3 linked regions of the Lytechinus pictus genome follow. The protein of the gene in region 1 purifies or fractionates together with the protein of each later gene. This does not show direct contact. Links are inferred from orthologs where the notes say so. Each region holds a gene or a part of one and is shown in the gene's direction. Other genes may lie near its edges.

Region 1 (10,863 bases):
CGTCAGGGGGGGGGGCAAAAAAGGTCTTTCAAGCCCGTCAGGGGGGCAGGGATACGTCCTTTGCATGGGTCGTTGCTCGTCAGGGGGGCAGACTGCCCCCTCTGCCCCCCCCCCCCTCCCCGTAGGTACGCTAGTGACTATAGAAGTAATATTTTGAACATGTCTTGTACTGTTTCTTCGATTATATTATTTTGTTGAACGGAAATAAATAGATCTAAAAAATCTAAAAATAAAAAAAAAATAAAAAATCCCCACCATCTCCTCTGTGATTTTTGAAGTCTAAATGCCAAATTTATTTAGATTTAGATTTATTCATTATTTCTCCTTTAGGATATTAAACTGGTAACTAGATGAGAAATTTACTATTGGGTTCACAAGGAGCAAATGCATGAATAAGCTGCAGCCGGGCGTAATAAGCCTACAAAAATTGATGGTGGCAAAGAATAGCGACGGAGTGTGATTGAAAAAAAAAATCTTAAAAGTTCCAAATGAGCAAAGCGAGCGAGGAAATTTTTGACCTTTTCCAAATCTAATTTTGTGATATATCTTTGACCTAATATTCAGGAAAAATCATATCTGACCTTTTGTTACTTTTCTTCCTTTTCTCCTTTCCATTTTTGTTCTTGAACATGAATCTTGAGGGAGTATGACAGCAAGTCCCACCCCCCCCCCCCAATCTGTACAATAGTGGTATTGAGTGCAGCTAGAGAGATGGTAACAGGGAGCTATTATGAGAGAAAAGCGCGAAAGTGTGCGACGAAACCGGAAATCATTAAAAAAGGCAGGAGATCGAAACTTCTGGTGAAAGTGAGAGAAAGCCGGAAAAATTGAGAGGTAGGCCTACTTGGACTCGCAAGAGAAATATTGAGAAAAGCGAAAATATCAAGAGAAAAGCGGAAAAATTGTAGAAAAGTGGCCGTGAAGCAACATATTTAACCAGTCTTTAAACAACAAAAATCGCGAAAATGCTTGATAGTTTATCAATGTGGCTCGTATTGAACAATATTTTGCTTTCAAGCATTTTCTTTATATAATGAGTGGAAAATATTAGTACCATCCTTTATCTAGCCGCGAATGAAGGGCGGCCTCACCGGGGGAGGGGAAATGACCCCCTTCCTTATGATGGGGGTTTTCAAGTAGGGAAAAGGGAGGTTAAGTTCAAGATTGTCCAAGTACTCATATTGATACAACCAAGGCAAAGGGTTTTTACGCTGATTTTGAGAGGCAAGGAACTCTGTTATTATTACTACCTGGTTATGGGAATGGGATTCGTATGAATAATTTTTTTTTCAATCTGCAATTTTCTCAAACTAGCCTACAATAATTTTAGGTGAATTTTTTAAATATTGGGGTTTTTTTAATTATTTTTTTTAAAGACGGGGTTCTTCCTAGATGGCGCTATAAAAGAAGATTCATGGTCGAAGATTGATGGCCCAAGCATTGATAAGAGAACTGATTAAAATGTTTTATTCTAAAATATTAGATAAAAACATGAAAGCTCGGCGGGGTTATTCATAAGGTCAGGGGCGGATCCAGGATTTTCCCAAGGGGGGGGGCATATTTTCCCGGGAAAAAATTTGACAAGCAAAATAAAAAGGGAGTTTTAACCAAAAATTAAGAGTATTTTTATTCATTGGTTTTTTTTTGTTTTTTTCCCCCGGGGGGCCACTTCCATTGACGAGTGGATACCATGCGCGACCATGGGGTCTAGAAATGCACCCTAAACGCGTATTTTCCATATTCTGAAAATGCACCCCTTAACAAGTATTGGCGAGTGAAACCTTACCCTTAAAGGTCAATTCCACCCCAGCAAAATGTTGATTTGAATAAATAGAGAAAAATCAAACTGGTAAAACACTGAAAATTTCATCAAAATCGGATGTAAAATAAGAAAGTTATAGCATTTTAAAGTTTCGCTTATTTTTCACACAACAGTGATATGCACAACTCAGTGACATGCAAATGAGTCAGTCGATGATGTCCATCACTCACTGTTTCTTTTGTTTTTTATAGTTTGAATTATACAATATTTCAGTCTTTACAGATATGACCATAGGGACCGACTTGACTGAATCATTATACAGTCCGTATCATAAAAAAGTTTACACTTAGAAAAAATCCTGTAAAATTATACATTTGTAATATCCTGAAGATTTTTCCACATTTTAAGATTGGTACAGATCCATTTAAGCAAATGACAATATAACTGTTGAAAAATATTTCCGCTTGAGTAAGCGCCACTTACTTTTGAAAAGTTAGTGAAAAATGATTTGCGCAGAACTTTGAAATAGTTATGCGAATGTTAATCATGAAGAACACATTGAATTTAGCTAGTAAAATTGATTTGAAGAGATCTTTTACCTTTTTAAACTTGTTTCCTTGCCCAAAACACTTCGAAGAGTGTATTGCACCCCATCCTGACTCCCCCACATACCGAGGCCATCGTGACGATATTTGCTTACACTGAGCTGTGATTTACATGAAATGGCTTAGGCTTGATTTTCATTTTGTTAATCATTTTCAAGCTTGGGAAAAGTGTGGAGAAACAAGTATTAATGAAAAATAAAATGTAAACCCACTTTAAATGATAAAAACTTAGAGGAGATGTCTGATAAAAACTTTTGTTCAGATTCAGTATGTCCTCAGATACAGCTGGCGCAAAAAGGGTAGAGGTTGTGCTTACTAAGTGTTGAAATTTCACTTTGGGTGGCAAAAATGCTTGAATGTATCCGTTTTATTTCAACTGACCAAAAGTGCAAGGGAAATGTATGAGAAATGTTTCGCAGGGTAAGTTTGATTTCTCCCTTACCCCTTGACACAGAATGAAAACGAGCATTTCTGCGCAAACAGATTTCTGCGAGCTTTACAAAAATGGACAGTGCTCACTCAAGTGTAACATTCTGTCAAAACTTTTACTTTCATTGGATAGATGAGACCCAAACCCAAGATTATATGTCAAAAATTACCCACATGTTGTACATTATTTAATTCCCACGGCTTTTTCAAAGTGTAAACTTTTTTTATACGCACTGTAGTATAAAGCAATGCTAATATCACATGTTCAGGGAGGAATAGATCACTGTTTCAATCGACAATGGGGAGAAAATTATAATATTTCACATTTCATATGATAAAATACAAAAGAAATAGTGAGTGGATGATATCATCAGTCTCCTCATTTGCATACCAACCAAGATGTGCGTATAACTGTTTTGTGAAATTAAGCAAAACTTTGAAAACATAACTTTCTTATTTTACATCCGATTTTAATGAAATTTTCAGTGTTATGCTTGTTGGATTTTTCTCTTCTTAATCAAATCAATATTTTGTTGGGGTGGACTTGTCCTTTAACAAGTTTTGGAAACAAAACGATACTCTTGCCAAGTATTTCCTGAATTGACCATCTAAAAAAGTACAGCGATATTTGTATTGCTATGTCACGGACGTCGGTCATCGGTTTTACTTTTACCTACATCTTAGGGTTTAGTACAGCCCCACCTCCCACATCTCGCGCAAATCTTACTCTCAACACGTAATGATAACTCTTGGGGAAAAAAGTACATCCTTTATTCCTTTATAAAACATTTTAGTCTTAATTTTTTCACCCTCGCAAATTTGACCCTAATTAAACACTTAATAATAATAATATTCCGCATTTATATAGCGCCTAATACATGGGAACGACATCTCTAAGCGCTTTACAGACATTACCCCGGTCATCGGATCCTTGCATGCCCGCATACAATGTATGCACCTTCTCCACTCCCTGGGGAGCGTTCCAACAAGAGTTCCAAGACTCAATTGCTAGCTGGCATACTACATATAGGCTTTCACATCCTACCGGATACCCATTTAACACCTGGGTGGAGAGTGGCAAAGTGTGGATTAACGCCTTGCCAAGGGGCGCTAGGCCATGGTGGGATTCGAATACACGACCCTCTGATTACAAGCCGAGAGTCACTTGAACTGCTACACCACGACGCTTCAACGCGTAGCTTTCCTAGCGTAAATAGATACCTTTTTTCATTATTTTAGCATTTTTGAAATCTTATTACGTTACGTACGTAACGTGCCCTATCTTGAAAAAGACATCTTTTATACGTTTTTTTTTTTGGTCGCGCATGGTATCCACTCGTCAATGTAACTGCCCCCCCCCCCGGGTTTTTTTTTTTTTTTGCTTTTGTTTTTATTTCCGATCCACACAATAGGCCCTGACGGTGTTGCATTTGCAAAAAAAAAGAAAGAATAATAGGGCCTAAGTAAAAGAAAAAAGAAAAAGGGACTCCACCGAATCTTCCGTTCCAGCCCCGTTCCAGCACGTACACGACCCTCCATGAAAATGAGGAAGGGAGGGGGAGGGGGTAGGGGTATTACATCCGGGCCGCTGTGATAAGGCCTGAACGGATGCGTACGGGTCCGCAGGGGTCCCGTGATTTAGTTAATGGGGATTCTCTGTGTTGTTACTGCGCGTGCTGCACTGCATTTGAGATCTCATTTGCACAGTCAAGATGGCGACTTCCATGAGTGTATTTATTTTTGTGACTTGTTTGTCATTGCTTTGCACCTATGGTAAGTAAAACATGGTTCGTTACACTTGCAATAAAATTTTTCATTCATTCGCTTTTTGAAATTAACATTTTTAAAGGAAGTACTAAATTTTCTTCGTTCACTCGCTGCAGCCGGAGGAGTCGAGTTGCTCCACCGGCACCGACTACGGTACCGTACCCCGAAGCTGCGGGGCGGGGGCGCGGCCGGTGAGGCTTTGGATATGGATCCGACGAATTTTCGCGGGGCCACGGCCAGCCTCCCTCATTTTTTACTTAATTATTTTAAATAAAACAATTAGATCTACTTACATCGATTCTCTTCTCTGTCATTTTGAGAAATGGAACCAGGCATCATCACTTTGTTTTTCCAACTTCCAAGCTCTTTTTTTCATGAAAAATTAAAGAAATTTGTCAGTCATCAGACATCACATTGTCAATTGTCAAATTATCCGCTGTTTTTTTCAGAGGAGTTTTTCAACATTTTCTGATTCTTTTTGTTCTTCTCCTATGTTACCTCCTACACAGACGGATGACTGCCATTGGGCTCGTACTCGTAATGGTGGAGCAAACAAAGGCCGCTTAACTAGGCCTAGGCCAGCGCTAGAGTCCCTAGACCAAGGCTCAGCTCCACATTAACTTTTTTTGGTGGTGGCCCGTTCGGGCCACCAAAACCTTCAAATAATTTTTTTTGGTGGCCCGATATTGAAGTTTGGTGGCCCGGAAAATATAAAGAAAAACATTAAACATTCTGAAATATTAATTCTGCAGCCACTACCACGTACCACTAAGTTACTTTCACTTTGTACATCTTGTGTGTAAACCTTGTTTGCTGTTTTTTACTTTGCTAATTGATTTGTGGTAAAATAGAAATTGTTCTATCATTGTAAATATGTAATGATTGAAAGAGAATAAATGAATTGTGTGGACTTTTTTTTTAATCTCCCTATAGACACAGACTCAAAATGGTAAAGTAAATAAACAGTGCATAACAAACTCAGATAGATGTACAAAACAATGATTTTTCCTTTCTTCCTCTTTGAATCCTAAAACCTAGATTATGCAGGCCCCAAATCCAGTTTATTTTTTTTCTCTTTTGCAGCATATTATAGCAGGAGAAAATCACAGAAATATATGCTGCAATATTAGAACAATGCATAAAATGGGGAAACAAACCAAAATAATTTTCAAAAAGTATATTACAAAAAGAAAACAAAAATAATAAAAGAAATAAGTGAAATAAAACAAAAGAAAGAAAATGAAAAAGAAAAATAGATTTAGACTAAAGAAACAAAAGTAAATGAAAGAAAAATGAATAAAACAAAATTAATTTAAAAATGGGGAAAGGGGGAAAATTAAGAAGCCATTACAAATATTTTTTAAAGTCTATTCTGACTGGAATATAATTAAAAGCCAAGCAAATAATTTTCACTTATCTTTTGGGAATGGCGCATTTCTATTTTTATATCCTTTAGTTTGTATTATTTTTTTTTAGTAGAAACATATTCTTTAATCAGGCATATTCAATGGGAAGGGGTATAAAAAAAAAAGAAAAAAAAAAAAACTGCAAAAGTTATATAGATCTGGAAAAAAAAGTGTGAAAAAAATCATTCCCTATATTTGCCAAAATGTTGGAAAAATTCACATTTCATATCAATAAAATGCCTTCCCAAAGTATAAACTTTCTCAACAGTGGTTTAAGAAGTCATTTATAAACAAGAAAGAAAGAAACTGTTTATTTTTGGCTAGAAAAGACACAGCTCCGAAAGAAACAAAGTATCAACATACATACAAATGCACACATGGGACTGTGATGTACTCACCTATGGGTTTTTATGTGTATTAATTCATTTAGAAATCGGTCTTTTTGAGTCAAAAGAGAGGTCATAATTCCTCTTTTTAATGCTTGCAAATAATCAGGGTACACCAGATTTTTAGTAATATGGACTGTAGAAGGGCATTTCATTGGCGTAAAATGTGGCTTTGACTTAAATTTTCAGAGTTCTGTGGAAGATTTCTTAGCAGCAACATTTCATATCGCAGCTCCCTGAGTCTGAATACCGGTAGGCTGCCAGCGCACAGCTAGCTGCGCATGGCTTCATGCAAAGCTAGCTCATTCCAGCCTGCCGGCGCGGCCGGCTGGATAACAGCTACTGTATGCTGTAGCGGTAGTACTGTCATGACTATGCAAAATTTGTGTGTGTGTATTTGTGTGTAGATCAACAAAAAAGGCGCATGACAACTGGCTTGCAATTTGAGTTGTAGAAAGTTGATAAATGCGTGCAAAATCGGGAGAAAAATTGTGCTACTTTAAAAACTATTGGTTGCCCGATTCGGGCCACCAAGACTTAACATTTTTTCAATAATGGTTGCCCGAGGTGAATTTCTGGTGGCCCCGGGCCACCGGGCCACCGCTAATGTCGAGCCTTGGCTAGACCAAAAGCTTCAGTCTCTGTAAATCTGTAATTTTGGTTGTTCCGCTGAACTGCGTTGGCTCACTCACCAATGATACATGATTGTAAAATGTCAGAAATTGTTGAATAAATCCCCAGAAACGATGGTTATTCCTGTCTAGGCCAGCGCTAGCCTTGACTTGAGGACTCCATGTCTGATATTTTTAATATTTTGACATAGGCCTAGATCTAAACTTCTTCAGACATGGAGCCTTGGCTTGACACTCTTTCCATAGACGCTGCAGCGAGACCTACATGTACACACCCGGATGGATTTCCCTAGGAAATCCATAGTTAGAGGGTGAAATCGGTTTGTAGGGGTGAATTTTATATATCTATGAACCTTCATGCGTATAAAGGTATAAAAATTATTTCACTATAAATGGTGAAAGTGAGACGTTTCTTACCAGACCAATCTCATGTAGATCCCTCGATCCGTTTGTTAACAAAGCGAATACAATAGACCTGACCCTTGAACCGCTTCGTTATGACGTACATCCGATTAGCGATGCCGTTTTGAAGAACAATTTATAGGTAAAAATTATTACTTTACAAATACTGAAATTTAATGCGTTATTTTAATTAGTAGTATTATACTAATTATTTATGATCACGTATTAAATTTTTGTATTTGTGAAATCACAGAGTCCTCAAGGCTAGGTATCAGCAAAGTTCTTCTTCGATCGCCGTCACGTATGCTCAACTGTACATACTACATGTACATGTAGTTGCATTGACAGTGATTGAAGAAGAACTCGGCGGATCCTGATCTGTTTGTCATAAAAATTCGTTTTTTTCCAGCATAATTTTCGCAAAGGTGGTAAGCTGAAATTTGATATAAATTTATCTTTATTATTTCTTCCCTTTTACCCTGTCAAAAAGCAAAAGATTTAGGATTAGGAGTAATCGAGGGTGCAAAAGTGCCCCCTTTCTCCATAGACGCCTTAGTTAAGCGGCGGTTGTTTGCTCCACCATTATGAAATAAAGCAATTGCTGAAGTGTGATCTTTTGCTTGGCTAGCTACACGTATTGCTTGTGCTTGAAGCAATTGAATGCTAGCAATTGCTACTTTTTATACATCTGACCCAGTATCAATGTTCTAGTCTAATAACATACTTCTAGAATAGTTAAGGCCTAGTTTTAGACTAGAACAGTATGTGATACTCTGTAGTTTTCTATACTAGTAGTAGTATTCTACAAACTTACTCCTCCTCTCCACTCTAGTGGCCAGCCTGGATGTGCTGCTGATATGTGGATGTTTTTTTTTCAATTTTCAGTCAACTGCAAATTCTCAGTTGTCTTGCTTTGACTGCGAATGCTGTGTTGGTGCAGGGTCAAAGGGGAAGTTAACCTTAGCTGAGGCCTGACACAAAGTTTATTGTGAAAATAGCAAGAATAAAAATGATAAAAAAATCACTTGTGAAGCTTTGAGGAAAATGCATCAAAGATTTAAAAAGATATTAAATTAGAATTTTTATAATTGGATTTGTGACATAATATACTAGCAGCTACATGTATGTAGCTTCTCAATATATTGTGTAGTAAAAAAATTAAATGAATGTAACTCATGTCATTGATTTTCTCAAAAAATGGAATTGCTTTTTATTGTACCTCCAGTGAAAGAATTTTTATTTAGTCATGAAGACATGTCATGAACCATGACAAAATGGAAACTTAATTTCCAAATTTTATGTTACATGTACATGGGGCAACTGCTTGTCTTATATCGTCACAAATCAAAAACATGAAATTCTGATATTTGATGATTTTCCTCAAACCTTCACTAGTAGTTTTCATTATTTTTCTCTGCAATGCCTGTCATTTGAAATGCTTTGCAATGCAGTGGCCCCCATAATAATAACGGTAAATTTACCCATGGTAGCCACTTCAGTTCCGTAAACTGTTCTCCCAGCGGGCCCTGTAATTATTATTATCCGTCTAAGCTACACATGTAGGCTACCGATTCAGGTGCGCATAGCTTTTTGAGGAATTATTTCCTACCCGTACTCATTTACCTGTGGAGTGTGGAGCGTTGTGGCCCAGTGGATTAGTCTCCGGACTTTGAAACAGAGGGTCGTGGGTTCGAATCCCAGCCATGGCGTAATTTCCTTCGGCAAGAAATTTATCCACATTGTGCTGCACTCAACCCAGGTGAGGTGAATGGGTACCTGGCAGGAATTTATTCCTTGAAATGCATGTGCGCTGTAATCTTAGTAATTACGGCTGCCAAGCTACAGCTGGGGTAATAATATCCAAGTCCTTTGGAAGCGCATAGAGACATTATTCATAATCGTGATATGCGCTATACAAGAACTGTTTATTATTATTATTATTATTATTATTACCTCACCTGGGTTGAGTGCGGCACAGTGTGGATAAATTTATTGCTGAATGAAAACACGCCACGGCTAGGATTCGAACCCACGACCCTCTGAAAGGCAAGAGTCAGAACCACTCGACCACGACATGCCCATGCAGACATATGTACATGTATCTGTATCTATCAAACATGCATTGTGCAATTGTCATAAAGGGCTGTCAAATCAAGGCCATAACACTGTGACACATTTAAGACTTTGAGAGACATTGAGAAACATGTAAGTTGGTATTAAACATTGTCATGGCAATTAAAACAGAAAAATTTAGAAACATATTGATAATGTAAGTAGGAGAGGGCAAATGTCTGGATTCTTTATACTGGTAATGCAGATAAAAACATCTTTTGCTCTGGATTTTCTCAAAAGTCATGCATTAAATAGCAAAAATTATGGTGAGTATTTGTGCTCTGTAGTATTGTCTGATATTCGATCAAAGTATTGATTGTACATGTAAGTTCTTGAAATTGCCATCTAAGTACAGTGTAGGCCTATGTATAGTCAAACAACCCATTCTGACATACATTGGTCGGGTGTACAATATTTTGTGAAAGGAAGCTTTGAGACAAATTTAGATATTGCAGAAAAACTTTTAACATTAAAATGTAGCTTTATACTCAAGATTATGATTTTTGCTTCATCATTGCCATGTGCTTTATTAGTGTACACTGTAGACCTGTACATTTTCTATTCAAAAGCAACTTGTTCAAAGAATCTAAATATGGGTAATGTTGTTACATTACATATACTTTGAATAAAAGTTGTTCAATATTTGTTTATTTGATAATAACCTCATTTTTTGCCATCATAATAATTTGTACGCGTGTAGACCCCCTAAGACCAAAGTACATGTACACGTATGCATTACCAGTCCATAGCAAATTCATTCAGCATCATTGTCGTTGCTAATTGTTCTTGTATATTTCAAATCTCTCCATGGCCTGATCAAAAACACCTTTCTAAATTACAAATTAATTTGTATGCGTGTAGACCCCTTAAGACCAAAGTACATGATGTACATGTAATTGTATTTCCTCACAGAACACATCCAGACATTTCATAGAATTTATTGAGTTTATGCTCAATTAATTATGCATAAAACAACCCCAATTTGAGGGGGAAAATAATGAATTGTACATTATTACTGTTTGCATGCGCTTATGACTGCTTGTACATGTATTACCAGTCCATAACACATTCATTCAGCATCAATGTCGTTGCTAATTGTTCTTGTAACTTTCTTAATCTCTCCTTGGCCTGATCAAAAGCACCTTTCTAAATTAATCCAGGCATACGGTACATGTACTCTCCATCCTGTAGTTCCCTTAATTCTACAAATCAAAAGTTATTTTTAACTGTCAAAAAAGAGAAGAAAAATTTTTTTTTGGGGGGTGAAACATCTACATTGTACATCTGTAGGCCCTTTCAAGCTCTACCCCACATCTTTAGAATTCTCTTCCAGCTTCCATTCCCAATACCACATTGTACTGT
Region 2 (10,863 bases), on another chromosome or scaffold:
AAGGAGGAGCTCGGGAAAAGAGGGGAGGAGGAAAGGAAGGGAAAGACGAAGGACTTGTCTTTACCCCATCATTATTTTTCTCTGTGTAGGGGAACTGATCTGCGATGGGGTTATGACCCTGTACCCCCCCCCCCCTCCCGAGAAACTAAAGAGAGAAAAAATAGTCTAGCTCAATGACTTTTGTTAGCACGTTACAGATTTAGAACTGCTCAATACATGTGTAGCAAACTTGATTTTCTCACCGCTCGTAAGCTGAAGTTTTATTTTTTCAACTGGCACTTTTTTATCAAAGCTGGAGTCCCTCCAGCTTTGATCATGCTTCAAAAAGTTTCATTTGCAAAAATAGAAAAGCTCTCAATAAAAAGCTATATAGGGAGAAGATTTTCTGGGACGTGTCGCAAGCCTTTTTCTAAAGTCCGTTATTCAACCCCGGTATTCAACAAGCTAAGTTTCTGTATTTTGAAAACAGCAAATTTTCTCTCTCGGTCGCAAAGTCCCTCGTAGATATAAGCAACTGAAATTAATTTTCATGATGGGGGGGGGGGGGGGTTCGAGGCTCGCACAAACCAATTCAATACCCGAATAACAAATTTTATACCCCTATTCCCTCAGTTTGGAAAATTACAATTTTTCTCGTAGCTCCCTCGCATGTGAACATTGAGGATTGGTGCCACGGATCTCAGTAAAGGAGCCAAATTTAGGCGGCACTTAGCGTGCTACGTACAGATTAGGCCTATAGTTGATTTGGGCCTTAAAATAAATGATAAGTGAATAAATGAATTATGAACAAATGCATGGCCATGAGGGAAGGGGGGTGAAGAAAATTAATACAGAACAAAAGAAAGAATATAAAAAATTAAAATATCAATTATTATCTTCTAAAATGATAAAAACTTTTTTATTAAAAAAAGAAGATAGTGTAGGCCTATATACTTTCCATTTCTTCACCTTCTTCGCTCATTTGTGACTTTTCAGAAACTTTCCTTTAAATGTCATTTTGTGCCCCCTTAAAATATTTTACTCAATTCAACAATGCCAGCACAAACAGGGGAAGTGGGCGGGTTAATGGGGCAATTTTCCCCGGTCCCCAGATAGAACCTTGGTCTGCATTTCCCATTAGCTTTAAATATTATGGTGACCATGCCTGACTACGGGAAGCCTATATATCCCACCATTTTTTTCGTGAGAATCCCATGCCAGCTGAAAATAATACGATTTAAACATATAAGTCAAAATTAGACAAACAAAACGCTGAAACTTCATCAATATCGGACAAAATTAAGAAAATTTATATTCATCACTTATTATTTTGTATTTAATGACATTAAATTATATATTTATTCAATTTTTGTCTTTCAAGAATGAAAAAAAGATTTTCTAATGCTTCAATGTTCGAGATGAATTATTGCTTCAACTGTTACAATGTATGAAAATATGAAATAATCATAATTTCATGAAATAACCCCGGGAAGTAACATGTCAAAGAAAAAAGGAAGTGGGGATTTCAGCCCACGTATTGCATAATTATGATGGCGTGCATGTATTTTTTTTTCACAATTCGGGTAGAATTTAAAATCCAATTAGTTAAACTTCTTTGTTATCAAATTTTGCCGAAATTTTTAGCTCAATTGCTTGGTGACTTTTACTGGATTTATTCAGATCCCATTGAGTTCTAAGTATATGTTTATATTAATTATAATCCTTTCCAAACTACATGTAAACATGAGGCTATAGTGATTATGATTAGACTATTCAGGGGCTGCGAAACCGGGGGGGGGGGCTTGGGGGAGGGGACTGATGCCCCCACTTTTTTCCAAAATCGTGTACAAAAACGTAAAAATTACCATCTGATTATGATTTTTCGCATTTTCAGCCCCACATTCGACTAAGCCTCCCCCCACTCTTTTCAAAACTGTTCGGCCCATGCTAGTCGCAGAATCGGGGGGGGGGGGGCAGAAGGAAAATCCAGTAAGACCAGTAAGAATTTGTACCGGTTTCCAGTATAGAATTTTATTGGTTTCCAGTATAATTTTACTGGGCCAGTTGATTTTTAACTGGACCAGTAAAAATTAACTGGAGACCAGTTCCAACAATTGCATTCCAGTTGAAGCAATTAGTAATACCAGTTAAATTGTTTTTCATCAAACTGGTGTTACTGGTCCAATAAATGGTTTCCAGTAGATTTTTACTGGTTTCCAGTATATGTTTACTGGACCAGTTGATTTTTAACTGGACCAGTAAAAATCAACTGGAGACCAGTTCCAACAATTGCATTCCAGTTGAAGCAAAGTAGTAATACCAGTTAAATTGTTTTTTCATCAAACTGGTGTTACTGGTCCAATAAATAATGACTTTAATTATTTCAAGTCAGATCATTTGACGAATTATGGAAAATGAATCTTGCAATTTTATTTAGAGAAAGTTATTATCGTTATCATTTATCATTGTTATCATCATTATTCTTATAATTATCATAATTATTATTATTATGATTATTATGATCATTGTTATCATTCTTGTTACTGTTATCATTGTTATTGATATTGTAATTATTATTATTAATATTATCATAATTATAACATCATGAAAATAATTATTTCCTTTAATTATGATTAAGATCAAAGCAGATATATTCCTCTGATATAGTCAACTGGTCTAAGTAATTAATTGTTTGAAATTGAACTGGTCAAGACCAGTAATACCAGTAATTCTGATGATGCTGATCACGTGGTTTACCTCATTTGCATATTTCTAGTTTTTGAACGAAAAGTCAGGATTTAGAATGGAATATCCTTGCAATGGCACTCATTCATTGTTTAAAAACTTTCTAAATAAGTGTGTGAGTTAATTCACAATGAAAATGTGTAATTTCATATATCACATTTAAAATAACAGCAGAAAGATTAATTTACTAACCATCTTTTCCATCACATTTCACTGACCATGGTATATAACAAACCAAATGCATGTAATAAATTGATCCAGTAAGACCAAAACGAGGACCAGTTCGAGGACCAGTCAGACCAGTAGAAAATACCAGTAAAGACTAGCTTAAATTGGATACCAGTATGAAGACCAGTGAGACCAGTAACAACAACCACCAGAAACAAGACCAGTATAAAATTCCAGTAATTCAAGACCAGTTTAATTTTAACTGGACCAGTATGACCAGTTAAAGACCAGTAAACCGATGTTCCAATTTCCAGAGTTACCAGTTAAAATTCTACTGGTCTAACTGGTCTAGTGGAACTGGTTTTTCCTTCTGGGGGGCAAGTTCCCGGCGCCCCATTTTTGTCAGAAAGAGTGTGCAAAAATGTGAAAACTAAAACTATGATTTTATCTGCATGTTAGTCTCCCCATGCACCCTCACACACTTATGGCTTAATGGCTTTGTCAGGCTTATTCCTGTTTTCTATTAGCATGTGTAATAAGTTGCGCGTATATTGGATGATTCATAGTTTATGTTTCTTTAATTTTCATCTTGTAATATATGGAATATATACAGGGGCGGATCCAGGATTTGCCAAAAGGGGGGGGGGCAATATTTAAAAAAAAAATGTTGACAAGCCCCCCCCCCCAAAAAAAAAAGGTTTTCAACCACGGATTAAGGGTATTTCGTACAAAAAAAAAAAAGGTCTTCAATTTCAAAAGAGGGTGCACACCTCTGTTTTAATGGCATTTTTACATTACAAATTTTTCATTTTGCTTCTCAAAGGGGGGGGGGGCACGTGCCCCCCCCCCCTGGATCCGCGCCTGAATATATAATATTTATTCATTTTAGGAAGGAAAAAAATACTAGAGGCTTGGCCGAGGATCAGGAGGACGAAGCCGGGATCGGGAGCAAGGGCCTTGCCGTGCGCGATGCCGGAGCGCGGCGCGGCCGGCCGGACGTGTACCAATATTGGATACGAGAAGAATGTGCATCTCCTGGAATCACGTAACGACTGGTCATTATTTCTCTTAAAAAGTTAAATCCTACCACTAAGCACTATCACTATAGTATCAGGCACCGAGTACATGTAGCCTAGGTCCTGTTAATTAAGAGCAGCTGCCCGGGATTATTGGATGCAATTTTGAAGTGGTGGTAAGCATTTAAGTCTAACTCTAACTTATTTAGTACCGGTACAGAGTTTTTTCTGAATCAGTCCCATGAATTCAATTCCATGCTGGTTATAAATATCGGCACTGCATAGCCATAGCATAGTCTAGACAGCTGGCAGCCGTCTGTTTCGAGGAGTTTCTTAAACATTTTTTTTTAAATTTCTCTTCGTACACAGACAGCTCGCGATCGTGCTGCCGCCATTAGGGGGTTAACAATGCAAAGTCCCCCCGACGGGGCTCATCGATTTTTGTCTTTATTTCATTAAAAAAAAGGACTGGACCACTCATTCAATGAACAAGGTATGGCAGTGTATCCTATTGCCGGACACCTTTATTTCAGTCCTTTAAAAATGACAACTAGAGGAAATACAATCAAGAAAAATTCGCACTAGCTATTCCAAATATTATGAAAATTATGAATGTGGTAAAATTATTTTATATTTACCAACCATTTTCTTTGCATCGCACTTGCCGCATACCCCTCCACGAAAAACAGTTATTTTCGTGCGTGACAAATTACATCATGATTCCGGATGCGCGCCGGACGGGTAAAGATATTCTTGATTATAATGATGTAAGAACCCATTTGTGTGATTTTTTCTTCTTATATCATATCATGAGTAAATTCTAAGTTTTTGTTTGCTGTTTTTATATCGATTCTGAGCAGATGTTGGTAATAAATTCGTGTTTGATAACTTATTTTATTTTTTCTTGTTAGCTGCATGTTTCATGGAACTTTCCAATATTATGCCCCATATTATGCTCGTTCGTATCGTGACGCTTATCAAGTTCTATCGATGCGCTGCCGATCGTCGACGTACGGCTCTATACTCACGGTAAACCTCGCGCACGGGTACCTTGAGAACTAGCCGTCGACGATCACCCACAATACACCACACCTCATCATTCGACCGAAGGAGCGGACGAGATTGAAATTCGGCAGATCATACCCATATTTCCGTTAGAAAATATATCAATTGTTAATGCAAAACTATGTAATTTGATATTTTAAGCATTTTCTGTCATTTTAGAGATAAATAAGGTAAAAGTTTGATTTTTTCGCCTTGTGTTTGCAATCCTGTTCTATGTATTGCTCTGTGAAATTGAATTGTGGAAGTCTTACGGTACGAAATTGTTTTCGTACGCAGTAATATGAGCGTCCGGAATCATGATAGTGTCCGGTAATACAATACGTCACTATAATTAATACTAGGACTAGGTACCGGTCACTCTAGGCGACACCCCAATACTTACCCGTGCTAATAAACTGGGACTCCACTCACGCGCATTTGGGCCGCCCTAGCTTAGAACTAAGCTTTGTTTTACTAAAAAATAAATCTTGTAATGATTCAATAAATGTTACTTAATAAATTAGTACTGTTAAATCGGTACTCACCGGTTCTTTTCTTGAATTTTCTGGCAATTTCCCACGCTTCTGGCTTCAATTCTGCGGCTGTTCCTGTCGCGGTAGACAGCTACATATGCAACTTTATTTATAAATAGAGCGCCCCTTACGATAGTTGTTAAGAACGCGGCCAAATTGTTAGGTTTTTTGCACTGTGTCCAAGGCGTTTTTATTTTGTTTGATTTTTTATTTTTAATAAATATTTTGTTAAATAGCGATTTTTACGTCAAATATTAAATTCATATCACAAAATATTTTTAATTGTAGAAATATATATAATATCATGCAATTATTCATTCTATATATATTTTATAATAAAATTTATAATTGTTGCGGTCTTTAAAAAAGGATAGTCGATTGATCAGGTGATGACCACACGTATCACGTGATCTGAAAATCAGCTTCATACCGCTTTGATCGCACTCGACGGTGACCGGACTGACTGCCAAAAAAAGATCGAAAAATGACTCAAATGTAAGTTTCCCTTTATTTTATTAAATTCAAATTAGGAATAGGAATATATTTAATGGGCAATCTTTTAATAAATGATAAACAAACGAGGACAAAACTCATATTTTGGGAGTAATATCATACTTGGGTGCAGGAAACAGTACGTTTAGAAGTTCTAACCTGTTTTTAACGCATTGTCGCCTATGAGGTCCATACATGTTAATGTTTGGACCTCATTGGTACTAGGAGTGGTACCGGTATATGAATATGATATAACCTTGTTCTCAATTATATCTCCATGTGTGGCGAAATAAGGGTGGCAATGTTTGGCTTATTTTCTCTTTTTCTTTGGGACAAATGCTTCGTCATACAACTTGGCCCTTAAGTAAATTTGATTCTTTACATTATTCTTTTCTTAATTAAAAATAGAGATTGAAAAATGACAATTTTCTTGCCATATTACTTTCCACCAATAGAGGGCGTACAAAAATATGCCCAAAATTCAAGTTTTTGAGCGCTCTAGTGAATACAAAAATTATTCCCAAGTTACTAATGAAAAATAAATTGTAATTGTATGGAAATTAGTAATTTTGGTCACAAAAGTGATATTTTAATGATTTTTTAAAGTGTGTGCTGTGTACAGCATTGGCATGCCATAGTCCTACCTGGCTGTAGATTCCCCACAGGCAGGATGGTTGCAGTGAACAAGTGGACTGGACCAAAAACCAAAAAAGATCTATTTTGTTTTGGCCTGAAATGCACCAAAATTGAAAAAAATTAACTTAAAAGGGAAAAAACAGCTCTCGCGCAACTTCCACTTCCCTGGTTTATCCCAGCCCACTCACACTAGAGCGAGGTTAGTATTTTTAATTAATAGTAGGCCTAGAGTCTAGACCTATAGCAGGGTGCTACATAACTTTTTTGAAGCACTTGCCCAGTCGGGCAAGTAAATTTTCAAATAGTTGGAAAATACTTGCCCGAATATAGATTTCACTTGCCTGAAAAAATTCTTCAAAACAAAGTTTTATTGCTTCAAAACAAGTTATAGGCTTTAAAAATACATTTTTTAACATGACTACTGATGTACCTTGTAGTTGTATTTCTTTTTTTAAATGATTTTTATCTTGAACATCATGACAAAATATATGGTCAATATGCTCTTTAATTAATTCCCTAATCTCATATATTTTCTATATATTTTGGAGGGGACTAGGACACACAATAAAAAAAGGGGAAATCACTGAAAATAACCAGAGAAAAAAAAGAAATTAAGAGAGGGAGAGAGAATGAAAGAAAAAAATAAGAAAGACAGAAAGGACGAAGAAATAAAGGAAGAAAGAAAAAAAGAAATAAAGAAAGAAAGAGAGAGAGAGAATGGCTGCGGGGATGAGAAAGATGGAAAGAAAGAAAGGAAGAAATAAGGATGGAAAGAAAAAAGAAAGAAATAAAAAAAAATGAGGGGAAGAGATAGGAAGGAAAGAAGGGAATGAAAAGAAAAAGAAAGAAAAAAGGTAAAAAGAAAGAAAGGAAGAAAAAGGTAAAGGATTGATGGAAGGAAGGAAAAGGGAAAGAAAGAAAACAAGAGAAAGGAAAGAAGGAAGAAAGAAAAGAAAAAAAAAGATAGAACAAAAGACAGAAAGAATTAAATGAAGGAAGGAATGAAGGAAAGAGATGAAGGAAGGCAGAATGAAAAAATAAGGAAGAAAAGAAAGGATGGATAGAAAAAAAAGAAAGATCAAAAGAACAAAAGACAAAAAAAAAGAAAAAAGGAAAGAAAGGAAGAAAGAAGGAAGGAAAGAAAAAAAATAGAGAGGAAAAAAAATGAGGGGAAGAGAAAAGAACGAATAAAAAAAGAAAGAAAGGAAGAAAAAAAAAGGTAAAGGATTGATGGAAGGAAGGAAAAGAGAAAGAAAACGAGAGAAAGGAAAGAAGGAAGAAAGAAAAGTTATAAGGATAGATGGAAGGAAGGAAAAAAAGAAAGAAAAGAAAGATAGAACAAAAGACAGAAATAAATGAAGGAAGGAATGAAGGAAAGAGATGAAGGAAGGCAGAAAGAAAAAATAAGGAAGAAAAGAAAGGATGGATGAAAAAAAGAAAGATCAAAAGAACGAAAGACAGATATAAAGAAAATCAGAAAGAAAGAAGGAAAGAAAGGAAGGAAGGAGAAAGAATGTAAGACAAAAATAAAGGAAGGAATGAAGGAAATAAATAAAGAAAGAAAAGAAAGAATGAAAGGGATGAAGAAAGTAAGGAAGAAAAAAAGACGGGAAGAAAAGGTAAAGAATGGATGGACGGAAGGAAGACGGTAAGAAAGAATGAAAGGAAGGGGAAAAAGAAGGATTAAAGAAAGGGGTAAACAAAGGATGGATGGAAGGAAGAAAGATAAAAAGATAGAAAGAAAAAAATGACAGCTATAGCAGGAAAGGAAAGATTGAAAAGAAAAGAAGGAAAGATAGGCAGAAAGAAAGAAAATAGAGAGGAAGAAAGCTCAAACTATCCAGTCATAAATAAAGAAGAAAATTTATCAATTTCCTTGGATAAAAAAAAATAGTTACGAAAAAAACCACGTTTATCAACATACACACAAATGCATATGTGGGACTGTCAAAACAATGTATTTCAGTGTGTGCGATGACAGACGATCATGTGAAACCCGATCTTTTTGAAGCATAACAGAAGTGAAAATTTCTCCTATTACTGCTTACAAATGACTGAGCTACCCCAATTTTTAGGAAATATGGACAATACAAGAATTTTCATTGGTAAGAAATGTGAAGTTTGTCGGTTCTGTGGGAGATTTCTTCCAGAGCAAACTTCGTTCATGCAGCACCGTACTCCGTAGAAACTACATGCATGTGCATCGGCTGCGTGGACTAGGCGCTAGCTAGCTAGGTATGCTAGACTGTCATTGATTCTGTGTGTGTGTGTACGTCTCTGAGCTGTGTGTTTATTGCAGAAAATGGCGCAAATTTTTGCAATTCGAATCATGACTTATAACTTTTTTGAAAGAAGAAAATTAATAATATTGCTTTTTTGTGTCTCTTTTTCTTTTCTATATTTTGATGGTGAAATATGGGGAATCTTTCTAAGTAAAATGTAATTTCCATAGGAGAATTTTGCTTGCCCGATTCGGGCAATCAGTTTTTTACTTTGCTTCAAAACCCTTGCCCGACTCTAACTTTTACTTGCCCCGGGCAATCGGGCAAGGGCTTATGTCGCACCCTGCCTATAGTTATACTAACCTCGCACCACTGGTTCACCCCAACCATTCGCCATACAGGGAAAGGTACGGGGTGGGACCAATCTGAGACCAGTGCCGCTAACACTGTCATTTCTATGTAGGAACGCGCGAAGTAAAAGAGTCTGACTTACCAATTCTTGTGTTGACCCAAACATAGATTTTGGTTCTACTTATTAATGTTGTAACCCGCACCCGTTGTGGTACGGGTTAACCTGCCGGTATGCCCCCGATCGCGGGTTGCGGGCCGGGCCGAGTTCATTCTCAAACCCGCAGACCGTCATACGAAAAAAAGGGATAAGTAACGACGCATAATAAAAACATTAACAATGAAAATTGAGTTAGGATCATGTGCTTCTTACGTGGCGGATTCTTTTAGAGACGTAGATATTTCCTTTAAAAAAATGCCGGCGTATTTTTGTCTTGTGAACAGGACTGAGACAGTTCGACATAATACATTGAGTTGCTCTTTCAAAGGAGCGCCAGTGCAGCGCAGTCAGAGAAAGGAATGTTTTACGACTGGGAGAGGGGGAGAGAGAGAGAGAGAGAGGAGAGGGGATGTGTTCGGAGACTGTAAACAGAAGCCAGAATACATTGCATAATCATATCTGGCAAGGAGCGAGTGATGGGCCACGTGGTAGAGAAAGGAATACGTTATGACTTGGAGTGGGGCGAGTCGAGCCTGTTTCCACGGCAACGCTCGCTGTTTGAGCTCGAGGGATTTGCGGTGCACGGCAGTGAGACAGTTGTTTGCTTATTGGATTACCAAATTAGGTCATGACCTGATAGAGCGTGCCGTCAGGTCAGAGTGTTAGCTGCCCTTTTTTTAAGACATGCTAAGCTGGTCTAGTCTAGTGGCTAACTAACCCTCCTTTTCGTTATTTCATACATTTTCTGATGAAAACTGAAGCCCCCGCACCCTGAATGCCCAGATCTCTTAATTTTTCTGATGTACAATTGATTGAAAGTCTTTAAGATTTCTGAAGATGTAAAATTGGATTGCAATGGATTGCAAGTTTCTTGCAAATACCTCTCTCTTGACCGATCGATCGAGAGAGATAAAAAATAAATAAAAGCCTAGCTAAGCACTAGTAACACGAGCTGTTTACGTAAGTTTACGTAAGTTTGTATTAGTTTACAAAGAATTGGAAGAAATACAAAATCAGAAGGAAATAATATGGAGATATACAAGAAGAAAAAATTGACTGTATCATTATCCTGGTATATCAATTTTGATTACTTTATAGACGAGGTCCCATAGAATTGAATATTGTAATTATGATTGTTGTGAGTCGCCGTGTCGACCGACCTGGACTGAAAAACATTGCCGATCTTTGCTGGGCAGCCTGGGCTAGCTAGCACGCGCTGAGCTGCGGCTCCAATCAGAGGAGTTAATTGCGTAATGCTTTCAATTTCGAGATCAGAGCGGACCCATTCCGTGGTACAAAGTCACCCTAAAAAACATTTTCTCTCCGGAATAAAAGGCGAATTTGCAAATTGTAAGTAAATATCGTCCTTGAAGTAAAGATTGGTTTCAAAATCGGGTAAAATCATCAGGAAATTTTTCATTATTCTCGTCTGGCCCATAGTCTCCTACGTAAGTACCTCAACACGCCCTCTTGTGCTGAATAAAAGAAAGATAGCCACTGAACAGTGGCGACCACAGAGC
Region 3 (10,863 bases), on another chromosome or scaffold:
TTTTGTCTTTGTTGTTGTTGCTGTCTTGTCGCTGTCCTTATTCGTCCATCTGTTCTTCCGCCTTGACGGTACATCGGCCTGTCTGTATGTCTCTTTCCATGATCACTGTCGTCATCGTCGTCCTCATCATCGAGGGTTTCTATTGTCATTCTTTTTGTCCTGTCATTCAAAAACATTTCGGGCCAACTCGATTTAGGAGGAGGTAGAGGCAGTTGGTAAAATGTTTAAGATAGCATTCAAAGCAATCCTCCATCTCTTGTCATATATGTATGGCATGACTATTGCTGGTTGAAATACGGGTTCTCCACCATGTTGTGTTGGGTTGGATCGATTGCGCTTTTTAACTTTCAACCAGACTTATAAATGAGACGAAGCAATACAAAGCCTGTACAGTTCATATATACATTTATTGAAGATTATAAATAAGCTGATGATGACAAATACATGAGTAAGTCTGATGGTGACTATACTCTAAAGATGAAGATAATATAAATTCTGCAGTATAAAATATAAACTCTTCTGTAGCTGTCTGTATGCTGGAACAATCTCTAAAGTAATCTGTAAACCAATCTGCATTCTCCTTTGGGTTCAGAAGTGAACCCCTTTTATATTGGTCTGGTCTAGACTCTTTACAACCAAACAGGTGTTGGTCAACCTTGGACGCTTGACCAAAACAATCTGTGCGTCATAACTTTACTCTGAATTGGGGGAGTTGACCTTATAGGGAGAACATGAAATGTGAATAACAAACCCATAAAATGTGTGTGGTCAGAAGTTTAGCTGAAAGATGGATGAGTAATACTTTCTTAAGAAAGTTGGAATTGGTAGAAGTTTCCTGTTATACTTTCTGTAGAAGCATTGATTAAGTATTGATTATGTATTGATATATTATTGAATATGTGAGATATATCTTATCATCACATAACAATAATTCAAAAGGGTATTTTGATAGACGTTTCATAACTGTCCCGTTTTTATTGATACGCACTGTAAAATTGAATAAAAAGGGTCACCCCCTTCAAAAATACGATAGCTTTCTTCATTTATCAGGAACTTTTTTTTTTACATACTCCTCAATATTCTTAAAACTGGAGTATATAGAAGTGTGGGCTACTAAAACTAAAGTACTAGCCCTTTCTTTTTGTTTACAAATTGAGAGATATTAACCCCCCCCCCCTCCACAAACCCAAAATATATTTCAGGAGCAATCTTCCAATTGTATTTTATAAAGAGGACTTTTAGTTCAAATTTACTCCTCAATATATATAAAAACGTGGAATATATAGGAATGTATATGAGTGTGGGCTAAAAAAACTAAGGCACTAACCCGTTGTTTTTCTTTACAAATTGAAAGAAGGGAAACCCCCCTCCACACACCCAAAATATATTTCAGGAGCAATCTTCCAATTGTATTTAATAAAGAGGACTTTTAGTTGAAATTTACTCCTCAATATACGAAAAAACATAGAGTATATAGGGGTGTGGGCTACTAAAACTAAAGCACTAGCCCGTTGTTTTTCTTACAAATTGAAAGAAGGGAAATCCCCCTACACACACCCAAAATATATTTCAGGAGCAATTTTCAATTGTATTTTATAAAGAGGACTTTTTGTTGAAATTTACTCCTCAAATATACGAAAAAACATAGAGTATATAGGGGTGTGGGCTACTAAAATTAAAGCACTAGCCCGTTGTTTTTCTTTACAAATTGAAAGAAGGGAAACCCCCCTACACACACCCAAAATATATTTCAGGAGCAATCTTCAAATTGTATTTTATAAAGAGGGCTTTTAGTTGAAATTTACTCCTCAATATATATAAAAATGTGGCATATATAGGAATGTATATGAGTGTGGGCTACTAAAACGAAGGCACTAGCCCCTTGTTTTTCTTTACGAATTGAAAGAAAGGAAACCCCCCTCCACACACCAAAATATATTTCAGGAGCAATCTTCCAATTGTATTTTATAAAGAGGACTTTTAGTTCAAATTTACTCCTCAATACACGAAAAAACATAGAGTATATAGGGGTAAGGGCTACTAAAACTAAAGCACTAGCCCGTTGTTTTTCTTTACAAATTGAAAGAAGGGAAACCCCCCTCCACACACCCAAAATATATTTCAGGAGCAATTTTCCAATTGTATTTTATAAAGAGGACTTTTAGTTCAAATTTACTCCTCAATATATATAAAAACGTGGAATATATAGGAATGTATATGAGTGTGGGCTACAAAAACTAAGGCACTAGCCCGTTGTTTTTCTTTACAAATTGAAAGAAGGGAAACCCCCCTCCACACACCCAAAATATATTTCAGGAGCAATCTTCCAATTGTATTTTATAAAGAGGACTTTTAGTTCAAATTTACTCCTCAATATACGAAAAAACCTAGAGTATATAGAGGTGTGGGCTACTAAAACTAAAGCACTAGCCCCTTGTTTTTCTTTACAAATTGAAAGAAGGGAAACCCCCCTACACACACCCAAAATATATTTCAGGAGCAATCTTCCAATTGTATTTTATAAAGAGGAATTTTAGTCAAATTTACTCCTCAATATATATAAAAACGAGGAATATATAGGAGTGTATATGAGTGTGGGCTACTAAAACGAAGGCACAAGCCCCTTGTTTTTCTTTACAAATTGAAAGAAGGGAAACCCCCCTCCACACACCCAAAATATATTTCAGGAGCAATCTTCCAATTGTATTTTATAAAGAGGACTTTTAGTTGAAATTTACTCCTCAATATACGAAAACACACAGAGTATATAGGGGTGTGGGCTACTAAAATTAAAGCACTAGCCCGTTGTTTTTCTTTACAAATTAAAAGAAGGGAAACCCCCTTACACACACCCAAAATAAATTTCAGGAGCAATCTTCCAATTGTATTTTATAAAGAGGACTTTTAGTTCAAATTTACTCCTCAATATATATAAAAACGTGGAATATATAGGAATGTATATGAGTGTGGGCTACTAAAACGAAGGCACTAGCCCCTTGTTTTTCTTTACGAATTGAAAGAAAGGAAACCCCCCTCCACACACCAAAAATATATTTCAGGAGCAATCTTCCAATTGTATTTTATAAAGAGGACTTTTAGTTCAAATTTACTCCTCAATATACGAAAAAACCTAGAGTATATAGAGGTGTGGGCTACTAAAACTAAAGCACTAGCCCCTTGTTTTTCTTTACAAATTGAAAGAAGGGAAACCCCCCTACACACACCCAAAATATATTTCAGGAGCAATCTTCCAATTGTATTTTATAAAGAGGACTTTTAGTTCAAATTTACTCCTCAATATATATAAAAACGAGGAATATATAGGAGTGTATATGAGTGTGGGCTACTAAAACGAAGGCACAAGCCCCTTGTTTTTCTTTACAAATTGAAAGAAGGGAAACCCCCCTCCACACACCCAAAATATATTTCAGGAGCAATCTTCCAATTGTATTTTATAAAGAGGACTTTTAGTTGAAATTTACTCCTCAATATACGAAAACACATAGAGTATATAGGGGTGTGGGCTACTAAAATTAAAGCACTAGCCAGTTGTTTTTCTTTACAAATTGAAAGAAGGGAAACCCCCCTACACACACCCAAAATAAATTTCAGGAGCAATCTTCCAATTGTATTTTATAAAGAGGACTTTTAGTTGAAATTTACTCCTCAATATACGAAAAAACATAGAGTATATAGGGGTGTGGGCTACTAAAATTAAAGCACTAGCCCGTTGTTTTTCTTTACAAATCGAAAGAAGGGAAACCCCCCTACACACACCCAAAATATATTTCAGGAGCAATCTTCCAATTGTATTTTATAAAGAGGACTTTTAGTTGAAATTTACTCCTCAATATACGAAAACACATAGAGTATATAGGGGTGTGGGCTACTAAAATTAAAGCACTAGCTAGTTGTTTTTCTTTACAAATTGAAAGAAGGGAAACCCCCATACACACACCCAAAATAAATTTCAGGAGCAATCTTCCAATTGTATTTTATAAAGAGGACTTTTAGTTAAAATTTACTCCTCAATATACGAAAACACATAGAGTATATAGGGGTGTGGGCTACTAAAATTAAAGCACTAGCCAGTTGTTTTTCTTTACAAATTGAAAGAAGGGAAACCCCCCTACACACACCCAAAATAAATTTCAGGAGCAATCTTCCAATTGTATTTTATAAAGAGGACTTTTAGTTGAAATTTACTCCTCAATATACGAAAACACATAGAGTATATAGGGGTGTGGGCTACTAAAATTTAATGCTAGCCCGTTGTTTTTCTTTACAAATTGAAAGAAGGGAAACCCCACCTGACCCCGTATGTTTGATTTGTACCAGAATGCACGCTTCTCTTCCTGCGCAAAATCCTGTATCTGATCTATCTTACATCGCGATATTGTTGGCTGGAACTGTTGGCTGGCTTGCTGTTGGCTAGCTTATTGTTGGCTGACTCTACTCCGGCCCATTATTTGTAGGGTGAGTTTTGAATTAGGACTGAAATACATGTATTTAAAAAGAAAACTTATAGGGTCTACTAATTATTTATTTATAAAAGAATCGCATCGATTATTAACCAGCTTGAATCAATCAAAATTTATTGAAATATCAAATGTGATTTGTGCCTGTACCTTAGTTATTGTTTAACTTTAAAGCTGCTTTAAATTTAACAACATTCACGTTCTTGATGTCCCCTATTTAAACAGAATGGACATGGCCGACTGTGCAAGATTTTATAGCACTTTATTTTACAGAATTTACTCATATCCTGATAGTACCTGAGGCTGCTTAGCTGAGCTAGCTGAGACTGTAAGTAAGACCTAGGCTAAAAGTAAAAAGAGAGCATTACTAACGTCAAGAATGGCGCATTCATCGAAAGGGAAACTCGTAGCTGTAATTGGCGATGAAGTGAGTACAATATTATTTTCATATAGGATTAAGCTTGCTTTCACAGATCTAACGTTAGACTAGAACTGTGAGTGTGATGAACGAGAGAGCTGATGCGCGATGCTATTGGCGCACTATATTCCATTCCAGACGTAAAGTCCCACACGTTCATAACCATGCAGTGCAGTGGATGAGTCATTTTGAGTGCAAACGTGAACAATGTAATTTTGTGTAGCCTGGCTTGACTCCTGGCTTGAGGACTCCATGGGCCGATTGCACGAAAGGGTCTTTCCAAGGACCGTCTTTCGTGTCGCCCATCTTTTATGATGCGCTATAACTTGTATAAGCGGAGTGTTTCTGAAATTTATGATAAACAAATAAATATGATGGGGTGTCCAAACTTCGCAGACTTTTCAAAAATATTCATCAGGCTTAAATTTGTTCACAAAATATTCATAATTTATACAAAACTAATTCAAGAAATAGTTACAACGTTCACGGCAAGATCGTTAATTAAAAAATCATGGACGAAAATGTAAAGTAGGTCAAGGGGTTTCGCCGGTATCGCGATCTCAAAATTCTATTCCGATTGGCGAATGCGCGCGTGCTGGAAAACTAATCTGAAAAAGTGTGACCTAACTTCGCGGACCAAAGTTTTTGTGGAGATGTAAACAAAATCTCAAGCTCAAAAAGTGAAATATTTATATCAGATTGACGGCAAAATGCTATAGAATTGGTTAGTACCACATTTAACTCACATTTTTGATGATTTCTGCTTGCAAAATGGTGATATCGTGATGCTTGTTGAGAATATCAGATTTCTTCAAAACGGGCGCTAACAGTGACAAATTTGCCGATCTTTTGTCAATATTTTCATGAATACTGAACTCATCCGAAAGAAACTTACACCAAAGGATAATTTTAGGTCACTTTTCACGTTGATGATGTCAGATTTTAAGGATATTGGCTAGTTTTTTAGATAATGACCGTCCGCGAAGTATGGACACGCGCGAAGTTTGGACTCACTGCCATACAATTCGTAAGCTTGCTTTTAAATCAAATTTTATACAATTTCATGAGATATCACATTTTATAAACAAATATTTTGTTTATTTTAATGGACGAGTAAAATATGTTTGCAGATAATTTATTTAAAATGCGTTTCACATGGCGCATGACAAAAAATGGGCGACACGAAAGACTGTCCTTGCAAAGACCCTTTCGTGCAATCGGCCCCGTGATGATATTTTTAATATTTTGACATATTCATCATGGAGCCTGTACCGCCTCCCATATATGTATAAGAGATACATCAAAACAAAGATGGATTTCCCTAGGAAATCCATCTTTGTTGACCGAAATCACGTACTAACAAATGTTTGTGATTTTATTTTTATTTATTTTTTTTTTACACCTTCATTAAGTTCATACGCCTAATGCGTATGAAGGTTACAAAAATTGGTTCATAAAAAGGTGAAAAATTGAAGGTTTCTGTAGATCCCTCGATCCGTTTGTCAACAAACATGACAAAGCAAATACTTAGGTCTGACCCACTGGTCTGACCCACCCATGGGTACATTCCGCCGCCGTGCACAGGATAACCACTCACTGGCACGGCACTTGCAATAAATTTATGGCTATTTTGTTAAAATTAGAAATAGATCATGTAGATAGATATATTAAATTAGATAAGCTTTGGATATGAAACTTATCAAACGATATGAAGCCAATTTCATTTCCTCTGTCTTTCTGGTACTTTATATCGATGATTTTTCTTGATGTCGAAGAAGGCATGGACCTAATTCGCTAGTTTTCTCTATACGCACAGAGAGGGCGCGCGATATAATTTAATAAACTTGCTTGTTTACGTCGTTCACGTCAGATCAGCTGTACTGCTGGTTGCGTTCTAGGCGCTCCGCATTTTTTTTGCTGTTCAGCGTTATTTTATGATGTAGCGCCATCAGCGATTATACGTGAGATGCAACCTGTTGATTTTTTTGGTGCAATTTCCTATTATGCGCCAACGACTTGAATCTAGACTGTTCGATAGGAAAAATTTGCATTTCGATTGTTGTTTGCGTAATTTCCACCGCAGTATTAAGGATCGGACAGATTATCTTGGTTGAGATTTGGAGGTAAGCATTTAAAATCACTTTTTATAAATAAGTTCGAGCACATTTTTTAAATTAAATTAGATGATAAGATTTAGATTAATAAATTTAGTATATTTTGAAGATTTTGGCGTGTTTCATTCTCTCACATTCGTGTGATGAATGAAAACGTCAAAATTCATTATGAAATGACATGCGTTGTGTGAGGTTAGTACAACTAACCTCGCATGCTTGTGTGAGTGGGTCTGACCCTTGAACTGCTTCGTTATGACTTACCTTCGATAAGCGATGTTACAAAATGCCGTTTTGAAGAACAATGTATAGTAGATAAAAATGATTATTTAACAAGTACTAACATTTTATATGTGATTATGAATAATTATTATAATAATAATAATTATTTATAATCATGTATTAAATTGGTCAATTAACGTTCCACCAAAGTCTTTACAGTAAAAAGATGGGACACTTTGCAGACTTCGCGTAACGCTTTGCATTGATTTACGTGTAAAAAAGTTTTTGTGCCTAGTCTTTCCCTTGTAGTGTGTTTGATATGAGGATAAATCGTGCGCCCTCTTTATGTAATTAGACAAAAAAATTGGAAAATCGCAAGCTCACTCCGTATTTTGTCAACGAGAAGAAAATTCAACACTTAAATGACGCTATTTGAGGGATATTCATCATAGTAGGATTAATTGACTTCACATCATTCGGTTAGTTTAGTAGGAAGACTTGATTTTATAAATCCTCTTCTGAAATTTGCAGGAGTTTGTTGCAATTTTGCATGCGCCGTGCCTTCAATTTTCCTGTACACGGCGGCAGTAATACACCCATGGGTGCGTGTGAGTCTCCCTTATGTGCACACACGTGTATCTGCGTGATTCTTGTTAAACTAAAAATTTAATTTAGTCTTGATTTACTCAGTAAATACTTGTACTTAGTTTTACTTTAGGACCTAAGATACACAACAGCAACATGACTATAGTATAGGCTAGGCAAAAAGTCAATAGGTGAGTTGGCCTCAAATTTTCATTCTATATTTTGAGTGAACAATGTAGTTAAACTTAGCGACATCTTCACATTTTCTGGCAGCCAAGTTGATTATCTATTGATGTGACATATTTCCACGGCTCCTCTCAGTCTCACTCAGAGGCTCACACAGGCCTCAGTCAGGATACAGACTAAAAATAAAATGCCTATTTTTAGCCACTAGCCCACATAGTATATTCATATAGTGATGGACCAATATGCATACATGATTTTATGGAGAATTTAAGCTTTATTTTTCACTATTTAAGAAATTTTGGGGTAAGTTTTGAGTAATGTCTGTGATAATAATGCTAATAAAGAATTAGACCAAAAGCTTCGGTCTCTGTTTTATTGGTTCCGCTGAACTCCGTTGGTTCCACTCACCAATTACAGAGGCCGAAGTTCTAACTCTACCTGTACCCCCTACCTGTAACGGGCCCCAGGGGCCCGTTACAGAAAGAGTTGCAATCAATCGCAACTCTAAAAATCATGCGCAACTTGATTTTCAACCAATCAACAGCTCGCATGTGGGACTTGCAATTGATTTTTTGGTTTGCGTTTAAACGCAACTCTTTCTGCAACGGGCCCCAGGGGTACAGGTACTCAATGGCCATATGTTTATGTATCAAGTTCAGATAAACTGGTCAGGGAAGTGAGAGTTGTGCGACAGCCGAAGGGCCAGATGAGCTTATGCTGTGGCGTGTCATCTGTCGTCCGTCCACAATTTCAAAATGCTTCTTCTTCATTATTTCAAGTCTATTTCAATTCTGTTTGCTTTATATAATAGCACTAGCTGGGAGATTCAAAACTTCTACACAGAATTTTGAAACTCATTAAATATGCTAATTTATACACATTTCGAAATTCACAAAAAGTGCTTCTTCATTTGTTGACCAATTTTGATTTTTTTGCTTCCATCTGGTAGAGCTTTATGATGTTCACCAAACTTCTACACAGAATTTTGACATTTTGACAAAAAAATATTTATGCTAATTTATAAAATTCACACAAAATGCACCTTCTTTTTTTGTTGACTGATTTTGATTTTTTTTCTTCCATCTGGTAGAGCTTCATGAGGTTCACCAAACTTCTACACAGAATTTTGACTCGAGAAATTGTCATGCTTATTTATGCGAAATTAATTTATGCCTATTTTTAGCTTATGCCGTGTCGTCTGTCGTCCGTCCACAATTTCAAAATGCTTCTACCTCGCCATTTCAAGTCCGATTTCAATTCTGTTTGCTTTAAATGATAGCACTAGGTGGGGGATTCAAAACTTCTACACAGAATTTTGAAACTCATAAAATATGCTAATTTATGCACATTTTTCAAAATTGACAAAAAAGGCTTCTTTATTTATTGACCGATATTGATTTTTTTCTTCCATCTGGTAGAGCTTTATGAGGTTCACCAAACTTCTACACAATATTTTGACATTTTGACTAGAAAATTAATTATGCTAATTTATGCAAAATTTATTCATAATCACAAATAAATGCTTCTTTATTTGTTGGCCGATTTTGATTTTTTTTTTTTCCATCTGGTAGAGCTACATGAGGGTCACCAAACTTCCACACAGAATTTTGAAATTTTAACTTGAAAATAATACTAATTTATAGAAATTTATTCATAAATCACAACAACAAAAAATTCTCCTTCATTAGTTGATCAATTTCAATTTGTGTTTGCTTTGTATGATAGCTCTAGATGGGAATACAAAATTTCTACACAGAATTTTGAAACTCATTAAACATGCTAATTTTTGCATATTATTCAAAACTCACAAAAAATGCTTATGAATTTGTTGACCAATTTTGATTTTTTTTCTTCCATCTGAGAGCTATACACGAGGTTCATCAAGGTTCTACACAGAATTTAGAAATTTTGACTAGAAAATTATTTATGCTTATTTATACAAAATACATTCATAAATCACAAAAATGCTTCTGTCATTACTCATCAATTTCAATTCTGTTTCCTCAATTTATGTCACCAATATAATTCACTACAGTGTCAACTGGGCTGAAATTAAAAACTGTGTTAAATTTCTTTGCGAGATGCCGGATGAGCTCCACATCATTGATGTGCTCGTTTTTTTTCTAATTTATCTATGCTCTCTTTCGTTTTGGGTTGCTCCGTAATCTTTTTAAATGAAGATTATTGGCAACTTTTCCAATCATATATAATGTAGGACTGTTATTTTAACATTTCGTTTCCCTTTTTGTTCTACAGTTTTGTTATTTAGTTCAATTTGTTTAGATTCTTGATGCTTCTGTTGTCAAGGACATTTGACTTTCAACCTGCTTCTCCCATCATTCCTTTCCTATTCAGACGTGTTCATTCATTATATTCTCACATCTGATAGTGATTCTTTTGTTAAACATTCTTATTATGAAATCATCACAACATCTTTATATTCATCTTCACTTTATTTGTTATTTTATGAATTAGACTTCTATTAGTTGGCTCCTCCATTATTTTTATTTTGACTGGTTGATATTACTTAATTTGAATATACAGCTACAGCGTATGTTAATTTTTTAATATGATTCTGAGTTTTACATATGTACATGTACTTAGGCAAAGAAGCCATCTTGATTAATCAGTGCACTACCAGACTTCATTGAGTTAAGTTCGGTTATGTTCCTGTGTCTTCTGAGTTGATTCTACTTAATTTCTGTTTGCTGTTCCATTTGATGTGTATGTTTGAGCTTATGTTATTCTCCTGCATTCGAATATTTATTTCCCATAGACTTATATTTAAAGCCGCACAAGGACATTGAAATGAATCTAATGTGGTAGAACAGCAAGGTACAAATCCACTGTGATATACAGTGAA

The links.
Region 2: the proteins of renin receptor-like (region 1) and coiled-coil domain-containing protein 115-like purify together in Homo sapiens (affinity purification with mass spectrometry; 3 studies listed by BioGRID and IntAct, counting the BioPlex papers as one, with this or other methods). This does not show direct contact. The link is inferred for Lytechinus pictus from reciprocal best matches to the Homo sapiens genes ATP6AP2 and VMA22.
Region 3: the proteins of renin receptor-like (region 1) and V-type proton ATPase subunit F-like purify together in Homo sapiens (affinity purification with mass spectrometry; 3 studies listed by BioGRID and IntAct, counting the BioPlex papers as one, with this or other methods). This does not show direct contact. The link is inferred for Lytechinus pictus from reciprocal best matches to the Homo sapiens genes ATP6AP2 and ATP6V1F.

The regions. Positions count from the first base shown.
Region 1 is NC_087260.1:13,864,208-13,875,070, reverse strand, and holds the start of renin receptor-like, read left to right. Parts: upstream 1-4,446; 5' UTR 4,447-4,508; coding exon 4,509-4,569; intron 4,570-10,863. UniProt on the Homo sapiens protein: Multifunctional protein which functions as a renin, prorenin cellular receptor and is involved in the assembly of the lysosomal proton-transporting V-type ATPase (V-ATPase) and the acidification of the endo-lysosomal system.
Region 2 is NC_087247.1:17,306,113-17,316,975, forward strand, and holds the start of coiled-coil domain-containing protein 115-like, read left to right. Parts: upstream 1-3,594; 5' UTR 3,595-3,634; intron 3,635-3,781; 5' UTR 3,782-4,084; intron 4,085-8,533; exon of another isoform or gene 8,534-8,718; intron 8,719-10,863. UniProt on the Homo sapiens protein: Accessory component of the proton-transporting vacuolar (V)-ATPase protein pump involved in intracellular iron homeostasis.
Region 3 is NC_087247.1:60,522,651-60,533,513, reverse strand, and holds the start of V-type proton ATPase subunit F-like, read left to right. Parts: upstream 1-4,390; 5' UTR 4,391-4,476; exon of another isoform or gene 4,477-4,505; intron 4,506-4,703; exon of another isoform or gene 4,704-4,751; 5' UTR 4,752-4,857; coding exon 4,858-4,905; intron 4,906-10,863. UniProt on the Homo sapiens protein: Subunit of the V1 complex of vacuolar(H+)-ATPase (V-ATPase), a multisubunit enzyme composed of a peripheral complex (V1) that hydrolyzes ATP and a membrane integral complex (V0) that translocates protons.